Linked DNA regions of Drosophila melanogaster. The protein of the gene in region 2 interacts with the protein of the main gene of each other region in a pairwise test. Each region holds a gene or a part of one and is shown on either strand. Other genes may lie near its edges.

Evidence for each region. The genes of interacting proteins can lie anywhere in the genome.
Region 1: the proteins of Spps (region 2) and retn interact in a two-hybrid assay, tested with the Drosophila melanogaster proteins (one large-scale study listed by BioGRID).

Annotation. Positions count from the first base shown.
Region 1 is NT_033778.4:23,630,965-23,635,614, forward strand, and holds the start of retn (retained), read left to right. Parts: upstream 1-1,645; 5' UTR 1,646-2,213; coding exon 2,214-2,300; intron 2,301-4,650. UniProt on the Drosophila melanogaster protein: Transcription factor which is a downstream target of gcm and repo. Directly or indirectly activates the transcription of locos and pros, which are essential for the development of some glial cells.
Region 2 is NT_033777.3:24,222,925-24,228,685, reverse strand, and holds Spps (Sp1-like factor for pairing sensitive-silencing), read left to right. Parts: upstream 1-1,751; 5' UTR 1,752-2,030; coding exon 2,031-4,937; coding exon of another isoform or gene 4,938-4,988; 3' UTR 4,989-5,241; downstream 5,242-5,761. Other genes in the region: CG13609 (uncharacterized protein), read right to left, coding at 468-1,562; cav (caravaggio), read right to left, coding at 5,263-5,761.

The DNA of each region.
Region 1 (4,650 bases), on a different chromosome or scaffold from region 2:
CCTCGAATTCCTAAATATTCCCGATGAATTCATTTGACTGCAACTTCCCTTAGATCGCGCCCAGAAACACCACCACCCCCCCCCCCTCTCCACCCTCCTGCCATTTTGCCCCACGAATTTGACGTCGTCTCATTAGTCACATTTAAAATTGTATTTAATTACTTTCTCACTTCATCATCAGTCAAGTCGGTGGGTCGGACGTCGCCTCGTCATTGGCGTTGCTCTTCTCCTCCTGGGCTGGCTGCCAGGGGGTGTATTCGTAGTCGTAGGGTAGCCTCCCCTACAGACACCCAGATACAGATACATATACATTAACAGATGCAGATACAGATACATGCCGCAGCGTTCGCGGCTTGTTTGTTTCACAGACAAGTCGGCCAAAATTGATATACTCAGCTGCACACAGGAAAATCAGTTCAAAATATAACTTACTTTACACACAAATAAATAATTTGAAGAATAAAAGTCATGAATTTTAATTTGCATCATTTAACTGAGTACCGTAGCGTATTTGTTTGCATGCATAAAAGTACATCCGATTTTCTTTCAGTGTCTGGATCCACTGCCGCTGCTCTTCGGCGGCGCTGCCTTTCATCAATTTCAAATTAGTGAAAATCGAGAAACGGAAATTATTTACTATCTGGATGGGTGGCTGGGTGCGAATGTGGATGTGGCTGTCTGTTGGATGGGTGGCAGCAGCAATCTATCCATCCATCTATCTACCGCCTTGGCCATTACAAGTGCAATTTATCTCGCAAATCATTAATCAACCTACCGTTTGCCTTTCCCTTTCCCCCTCCTTTCCCATCCATTCCCAGCCCACCCAACGCCTACCTTCACCCCCTACTTGGCAATTGTTTTTAGCCCGTTTTTGTGTACTTATTGGCAACAAATTTAAAAGGGCACAAACTTGGCCCCTCCCATTCGATTGGGAAAATCAACAGGACGATTCGGCGAATGAAAAGGGCGGCGCTCTTCAATTGAACCGCGCATAAAACTCGATTGAAAGATACGCCAGTGAGCCAATACAAGTGCGCAAAACTAAACACTAAGCTACAAAAGCTAGAAACAAAAAGGTTGTCATTTATTTAGTATCCAAAAGTCTTATTTACTTCCTAAAACGCGGGTAAACAACTGCACATATTATTAGTAATACATCATTATTAAAGTAACTTACTAAAAATATACATTTTATTCGAAAACAAAAGCACATAAACCTGTTAAATTGCGTTAACAAACGTGCTAGGCAGTGTATCTGCGTTTTCTGCCCACATTCTGCGGATACAGATACACGAGCACACCTCTGCCTCAGGTGTTCGTGTGTGTGTGAGTGTATCGGAATGAGCGAATAAGAAGGCGGCGTATTGCGCACACTCTCACACACACACGAATCGGGCATTGCATAGATTGCGATTACAATTTTAATTTAATTGACCACCTCCCCCACCCCCTCCCCTAACAAACGATGGAACGGCCATCCGATTGGCTGCGAACGAGTTCGGGGAACGAGTGTGAATTGGAACGTGCAATTCCATTCGTTCGATTTGAACGGCCGTTCCGGCAACATTTGGGAATGTTGCAGCAACTTGTTGCTATTGCTGTGAGATGGTGTCGGTGTCTTATTCGCCAGTTTCTTGTTCGCTACTCAGACCGATTTGAACTTTCGAGTGAACGAGACGAGTTCCGTGCGGTCGGATAACGGCTTTTCAAATGGACACATCACTGTAATTAGATAACGTCGCAATGTGGATTAATAACAATCGTGTTCTGTGTGTGTGAGCGTGTGAGCAGTAAAACTCTTGATCCATAATTAAAGTGAGAAGCATAGAAGTCACTAGGAACCAAATCGCACTAAACAACCGCAAGCAATTGCAAACAAACAGAAAGGCATAAATGCAAGTGAACGGTTCTTAAGCGCACTCTCCTGTTTCTGTTTTCCAACCAGAATAAAGTGCAAAGAGGATCGACGATCACAAGTAACGGTTCGCGCTCACAAAAAAAAAAAAGAAATCAAATGCTGGCCGCAAAGTAATGCCATATAGAAGCTAAAAACAACACAACAAAAGTGTGCTGTGCCAATTAAACTTCAGCTAAGGAAATAACATCAAAAGTATCAAAGGTCTGCGCAGGTCTTTGATCAACCGCAACATTCGTTATATTCGTCATATTCGTTATATTCGTGACATTCGAGCAGGGTGATCCAATTCGCCTCAATGCAACTGCGAGTGCACCCTACTATGGACTGTAGCGGTCGTTCAACCAGCAATATTGAACGCGATTCCGATCTGGGGGACGATTTGGTAAGAAAAGGAACTTTGTAACACCCAATATGCACCTCTACAGTAACGCCCGAAGTTATTATTATTATAAAGGATTATTATCTTCTTTGAAAAATTGATGTGACAAGCACTAATCAGCTTGGCATTAAAATAAATGTCATACATTCAAGTAATAAACTTAATTGGCATAATCATTCTCAGTAGAAGTATCCAGGTGAAAAGTATGTCAGTAAGTGCCGCTAAATTACCTCTTTATTATCACATCGTAAAACACTGATATGAAATATACAAATGAATTATGTAAACAAACATGTAGCATTGAAATACAAATAATGAAGAAATATACGGAATTCATGGTTATTGCTAACAATCAGCTACTGATGGAAACTCATTCATTTTCCGATAATAATTCTCAGAAGCATTTCGAAGTATTATTATTATTTTTACCAAATGAAATTTGTCAAGCACAAAAATTAATAAGATAACCCACCTTTCATCTATCCATCATATATGTATGTATAGAATCTGTTTTGTTTTTTTCGCGACCGTCTGGTAATTTGAGTTACTAATGCATCAATATCCATTTGCCACGCGAAAAATAGTATTAAGTCTTGACACTGATGGGCCAAGATACCCTATTCAGTCTAAAAAAAATGAAATACCCATTTGCCGTCGGCACTTAGAGGAAATCCTTACCCAAATGCCCAAAAGCGATCGCTTTTTGGCCATAATGATCTCTTGTTTGGGTAGCAACTTATACTTCAGCTTTGTTTTCTGCTGTCGTGCTCGAAAAGGCAAAGGCAATTCCTGCAACCGACTCACATTGTTTGCAGATGATTCAAAACGTAATTATAATGTTAAAAAAATATGTTTATTCAATCGGGGAATGGGAGATTCAAAACGGAGGGAGCTGGCTCTTTTGGCTTTTTGGCGTTTCAGTTTGCCGGAGAGCCGTTAAAAGGTGACATGCTAAATGGTCGCATACAAGACGATTGTGTTGTAGCGACACACTCACGTCCAGCGCGATATACACTCACACGTTGATCGAGCTAAGTGCATGGCACACTCATAAACACAAATAGATTCATCTGTTTTGGTCCCACAAAACCGAGCGATCGGCGTACCGACATCCCGAGATCGTTCACAATTTCCACCGATTGAAAGAGATCTTTCAATCCAAGCTCTTTGATGGCGTTCATATGTAAATAGATTGTTCAAATATTTGCATTATTTGTTAGTACCTTAAATGAATATTAAATGGGTTTTATTGCCTTTCAGGCCTTTCGGCCATTCGCTTTCAGGTATGCAGCTTCATCTCCATCTCCATCTCCATCTCATCGCGACTTCTTCAATTCAATAAAACTCTTGTTAGTCTTTTCCTGCCCCTTTGTTTTCCTTTCATTTTTATTATTGTTAATAGACATTGCCGGCTCGATCAACAATGAGCCAGACTTTATACACTCACTCACTGGCCGGCCGGTCGGTCTGGCTATTTACATAATAATTTTTAATAGCCTCGCTTTTGGCCAAGAAGCGAAGGCGGCGGAGACGCAATGGGCTGTGCAAACAGCGACTGAATCTCGGCTCTCCAGGCCGGCCTATTCGTCATCCCCCCGGATCGATGCCGATGCGATGTGTGCTCCTTGTGGGCCTGGACTGGTGTTAATTGCGGGTCTCTCAATTGAGGGTCCGCATGTGGGTGCTGTGCTGTCTAATTAACCCCACTGCGATCCGGACCGACATGCTGGTGTCATTCGCACATCCGATCCGCAGTTCTATTCAAATCAAATCCTGCCACCGCCACTCGCCGCTCGCATTTTCAATTTTAGCCCGAAAGTCACGATTAAACAATAATGTGGGCTGTCAAAAAGTCATAAATTCTCGAATGAAACCCAGTCCCAGCGAAGAAGTCGTGCCCAATGGTCCATGGTATATGGTCCAATGCCCAAATGCCCAAATGCCCAATGCCCAGTATCGTCATCCGAGCAGCACTTTAATTACATGGGTTAAACGCAGAGTTTAAAATTATTGCCGAATTGTTGTCTGTAATTTTTGAATCGTTTTTAAATTAAATCAAGCCGGCGAACATGACTCGAGACAATTGGCTTCCGATTCCTCCTCCAGCGCCGGAGCAGCTGGTGGATTCACTCCGAGCGCTGCACGTGCTCCAGGCGCAGTTCCCACATTAAATCATACCGGCCTTGGGTTGGGGGAATCCCCCCAAAAAAAAATCTCAGTGGTGGTTAACTGGTGCCGCTGCTGGTGTTTGCACTGATTCACACTCCGGCTCCGATTCCGATTCGGCCAGCGTCGTTTTCCACATTTATTTATGACCGCTTCAGTGCGCCAAGCCAGAAATTTTGGAAGAGTT
Region 2 (5,761 bases):
ATAGAAGCATTCATTAGATTACTTATTTTACAGTCGGGGTTTTTTTTTTAATGTCTATTAATGCTGCAGCATCTGACATGCGATAACACAGTTGTCCTTGACCTAGTTGTAGAACATAAACATAATAGATGCACATCAAAAATGTTTATTTATAAGATCGGTTAAGTTTTAATATGGCAACGTATGACAGACATTCGTAATACAAACTTGCGTAAATGCATTCAGGAGTTCGCAGTTTTATGATTATTTATCTGATTACATATTTTAGCCTTGGTATGTTTTCCCACTGGGGACGTGCGAGCGTATCTTGTTTAAATATTCTTTGGTCTATATTTATAATAATTAAACAAAAAAAAAAAAAATATCTAATTATAAAACAATACTTTCTTCGATGACTATAAATTTGATATACCTAGAGTTCAAATAAATATTTTAAATATACTTTGAGATCATCTTGAGATACTTGTTTACTCTTTGTTTCTCGCCTTTTGGCGATGTTCGTCTAATACTTCCCGCAATCGCTTGACGAAATTAGCTTGATCTCTCGGAATAAAGCCCAGGAAGGCGTTCCTCGGGGACGAATACAGCAGCATGATAACCTTGCAGACGACCTCGGAGGAAAATCGGGCACAGCCACAACTGCCGGCGGACATTGATGATGCTAGCGAGTCGTGTTCTTCTCCAGGTGTCGATCGGAGAATTATAAGTTTCGAGTCCTTTATAAACGCTCCGGCGAACTGACCAAGATAAATTGAAGGCATCAAAACCATAGGCATATCAGTTGGCCAATCCTCCGCACTGATCCCGGGATCACCGTTTTTTATAGCTATGTACACGGAACACTCAAGCTTGTGACTAATGCTTGGCTCCTCTAAACTTGCTTGTGTCGACCAATTCAGCGATCCAGTCCATAGGAGTTCATTTATAATGGCATCTTCCTCCACAGGAGGCGGTTCTTCTGGCTGTGGCTGCTTGGGTGTTTTGACGCCCGGCTTTCGTTTTGCACCCTGAAGAATCTCCTGCAGTCGTTCGCTAAACGAATCCTCATTGTTGGGTATGAAGCCAACCAAAGCTTGATGATCGCGCGAGTAGATGAGAATTAGAGCCTTGATGTTGCAGTTGGGATTGGAGGGGAAGTGGATGCAACCAGCGAAACCAGAGCTCATCGCCGTGATCAATAAATTGAGTACCTCTCCTTGGCTGGATCGGAATACAACCATCCTGGCATCCTTTAGGAATTGTTCGCCAATTTTACCCAGCACTTTTTTGGGTATCAGTTGTGTTTTCAGCTTGTTTGGCCAGTTCTCCGTGTTGATCTCCGGCTGACCTTCTTTAACCATGGAGCAGATTTTGCATTGGACCGTGTGCAGAGTCTTCGGTTGATCCAATATCTGTGCATCCTCCCATTCGAGCTCTCCACTCCAAATTGTTTCCTTTGAGTCACCATTTTCAGGATTTTCCGGTTCTTTTTGCAAAAGCAACGCCCCAATCATATGTGTTAGACAATCGAGTTCCCCTTCGTCATCACCCACTCCTCGGGCTTCCTCTGGAACCGGCTCCATGCCCCTTTCAAGATGCAATCTAATTAAATATGGATTTTGTCGGATAGGCAACTTGTCGGTTAAAAATTTGTTTATCTGTGATATGCTTCTTCTTGCTTTTAGCGGTTTGTTATTGGTATCGCACTATCGGTTGGCTGGTTGGTCGATTGGCGGCCATCGAGATGCAACGCAATGCAACCCTGGCCAATCACTCTCACTTCTTCTTCTGCGTTTGTGTCAAAACAAAATTAAAACTAAAAACTCGCTAAAACCGTCTCGCAGCGCAATTATCTTTAGACTTCGTGTTATTTATGTGTTTGAATGTTAGCGTCGGCACCCCGCATCCCAGTGTTCATAACCCCATGTGTGCCACCTTGGTTTAAATGCTACCAATCTCCTGGCAGAGTAGCGCGTCTGAGCGAATAAAAAAACTGAACATGTTTCGCTCCAAGCACTTGTGATTGACCAAATCTCATCTAAAGCCCTGCCATGCTGCAGTACAAGAGTGCCGCCAGTGCGGCGACTAGTGCGCCACCCGCCACGCCTTTGGCGGCAGGCGGTTCCAGCAAGGCGACGATTCCACCAAATGGAGCTAGTGCAGCAGCTTCACAAACGCAGGTTCACGGTGCTCCCGGGACACCAACCATGCAGCAGATCATCAACATTCACCAAATGCCTCCTCAGTTTGCAGGCGGAGCGGTTGCCGGGAACGGACAGAACGCTGGCATGCCCCAAAACATGTTCCAGATCGTACAGCCCATGCCCATGCAAACGGTGAACATTGATGGCCAGGAGGCCATCTTCATACCAAACCTCAATGCACAACTGGCCACCGCTCAGGCGGTCAACTTCAACGGGCAACAGGCCTTTATCACGCCCAACGGTCAAATTCTGCGGGCTCCCCAGATGGCAGCTAATCCGGCAGCCTCTAACTGCATTCAGCTGCAACAGCTGAACGGCTTGGGCCAGGAGCAAACCCAGCTGATCACCATACCCGGCACCAACATTCAAATACCCGTCACCAATCTCATTCAGCAACAACAGCAGGCACAACAAGTGCACCAGGGTACAGTGCAACAGCAGGCACAAGGAACAAATGCATCTGGAGCCAATGGATCGGGAGTTACCAATAGTGGGACAGCGGGTCAGCTGCCGGGCAGCATCACCATACCGGGCACAAACCTGCAGATACCAACCTCGGTAGCGGCGGCGAATGGATTGCTGGGAAACATCTCCAATATCTCCAATTTACTAGGCGGCGGGCAATCTATAAAGTTGGAGAACGGCCAATTGCAGATGCGGCCGCAACTGGTGCAGTTTCCGGCGCCAGCCATGCCGCAGCAGCAACAAACGGTTGCTGTGCAGATTCCCGTTCAGACTGCTAACGGACAGACCATCTACCAGACTGTACATGTGCCCGTCCAGGCAGCGGCAACATCGAGCGGCGGACTGCAAAACCTGATGCAGGCGCAATCCCTGCAGATGCCCTCCGCCTCGCAGATGCAAATCATCCCGCAGTTCTCACAGATAGCCCAGATTGTTACGCCCAACGGTCAGATTCAGCAGGTGCAACTGGCAATGCCGTATCCTCAGCTGCCTCCGAATGCCAACATTATACATATCCAGAATCCCCACCAGCAGCAGCAACAACAAGTACAACAACAACAACAGCAGCAGCAGGCGCAACAGCAGCAGCAAGCGCAACAGCAACAGGCACAGCAGCAGCAACAACAACAGGTCCAGGCGCAGCACCAGCAGCTCCTTCAGGCGATCAGCGATGCCTCGGCGGGGGGACAACTGCCGCCCAATCAGCCCATCACCATTACCAATGCCCAGGGCCAACAGCTGACCGTGATTCCCGCCCAACTACGCCCAAATGCGCCTACCGCACCCACTCCTGCTCCAGCTGGTGTGCCCACACCAATGCAGATGCCCAATCTTCAGGCTTTACCCATCCAGAACATCCCAGGCCTGGGTCAAGTGCAAATCATTCACGCCAATCAGCTGCCTCCTAATCTGCCAGCCAACTTCCAGCAAGTACTAACCCAACTACCCATGTCGCATCCTCAAGTGCAAACTCAGGGCCAAGTTCAGGTGATGCCCAAGCAGGAGCCGCAGAGTCCAACGCAAATGATCACCAGCATCAAGCAAGAGCCGCCGGATACCTTTGGACCCATTTCCGCAACTGGTAATCCTCCGGCACCTGCCTCTACTCCAAACACAGCCTCACCGCAACAGCAGCAGATCAAGTTCCTGCATACGGAAAGCAATTCCCTGTCCAGCCTGAGCATACCAGCCTCCATTCAGATCACAGCCCTGCCACAGCAAGCGACGAATACACCGAATACCCCAGCCACAACCCAACCAATTCCCGTATCGTTACCTGCAAGAAGTAAGGTCAACGCTGTGACCACGTCAAGCACCCAGATTACAATTGCGCCGACTGGTGGCCAAGTGGTGTCCGTCACGACGCAGGCTAGGGGAGCAACTGCCAGCATAAGGAGCACGAACACCAGCACGACGACTATAACAACGCCGTCACAAAGCCATCTCAATATGAACATAAGTGTGGCCAGCGTCGGAGGTGCTGCAACTGGCGGCGGCGGTGGAACAGCGACTGGAGAGCCCAAACCACGCTTAAAGCGAGTAGCCTGCACCTGTCCCAATTGTACAGATGGCGAAAAACACTCGGACAAGAAGCGCCAGCATATATGCCATATAACCGGCTGCCATAAGGTATACGGGAAAACTTCCCATCTAAGGGCTCACCTGCGTTGGCATACTGGCGAGCGACCATTTGTCTGCTCCTGGGCGTTTTGCGGCAAGCGCTTCACCCGCTCCGATGAACTGCAGCGCCACCGACGAACGCACACGGGAGAGAAGCGTTTCCAGTGCCAGGAGTGCAACAAAAAGTTCATGCGCAGCGATCACCTGTCGAAGCACATCAAGACGCACTTTAAGAGCCGCTCTGGCGTGGAGCTAATTGAGCTGAGCATCAAGCAGGAGACCAAGGGTGGCAATGCACCGAAAAGCATTAGCACGGTGAACGGCATTGTGACGATTGAGATTCCGGGCGGCGGTTCAGCGGCGGCGGGCAGTGGAGCCTCCAGTGTGGCGGCCACGGTTGCAGGCTCAACTGTGACGCCGGGCGGGGCCACGATCGTTCAGCTGCCGACTGTGGAGGCCAGCGGCGGGGGTGATAGTTTCGGCGATGATGAGGACGACGAGGAGGATGATGAATTGACCGAAGAGGACGACGAAGACGAGGAGCTCGACGAGGACGATATGGATGATTGCGAGGATGAGGAGGATGACGAGGATCCAGAACTAGACAGTGGCGATGAAGTGAAGATGACAATTGCGGTCAGTGAGCCTGGCGACAATTCGTCCAACTAGCATTCGGAGTCGCTGTTCATGGAACAGTTCTTGTTTGACCACTTCCCGTAGCACCCACCGCCCCCTGCCGCGCCCCATGGGACCATGGTTTAGCAATATATAAATTGTACATAGCGTAATTATGTAAAAGCGAGCATTTTAAATGTTTACCCTTCTTGTACAGCTCCGGTTGCGGATCATCCTAGATTAGTGTACATAGCTTAATCGACCATCGTATTTTAATTAAGATTTTTATTATACATTTTATAACATTTTTAGGGATTACATGTTTTTAATTAATTAACACCAATAAATGAAGAACTTTATATAGTTTAATATATGGACATCAGGCTATTGAGGTGACGTCGATCGGCTCAGATTCTGTATTTTGAAAAGTGATAGTTCCTTCCGAATCAATTGACGGTCCAATCGACAAGCTTTCCGAATTAATTTGATCACACCTTACCCAGCTCTCATTCATCTCTGTCTCTGGACAGTTTACCTGATCGTCAGGCTCTTGAGTCGACGTGGGTCGTACTAATGTGCTCAATTGGGTGCCAAACATATAGTAGTCCGGATCAGACTCCGTATTCCGGAAACTGTTATTTGCTTGCGAATTTATACATCCAGTCCGCATCCTTCCTAAATTAATTGGATCACATCTCACCGAATTCTCATTAATCTCTGTCTCTGGACGGTTGATGTTCTCATCCTGAAATCCTGACTGCTGCTGTTCGTCCTCATCGTCTCCGATGCCGCTAAGATCAGATGACGACACGCCTGGCGGAGCCATCGCTTCCACTTGAAAGTTCATTTGAGACAGTGAACTAAGATTTGTGTTTGCT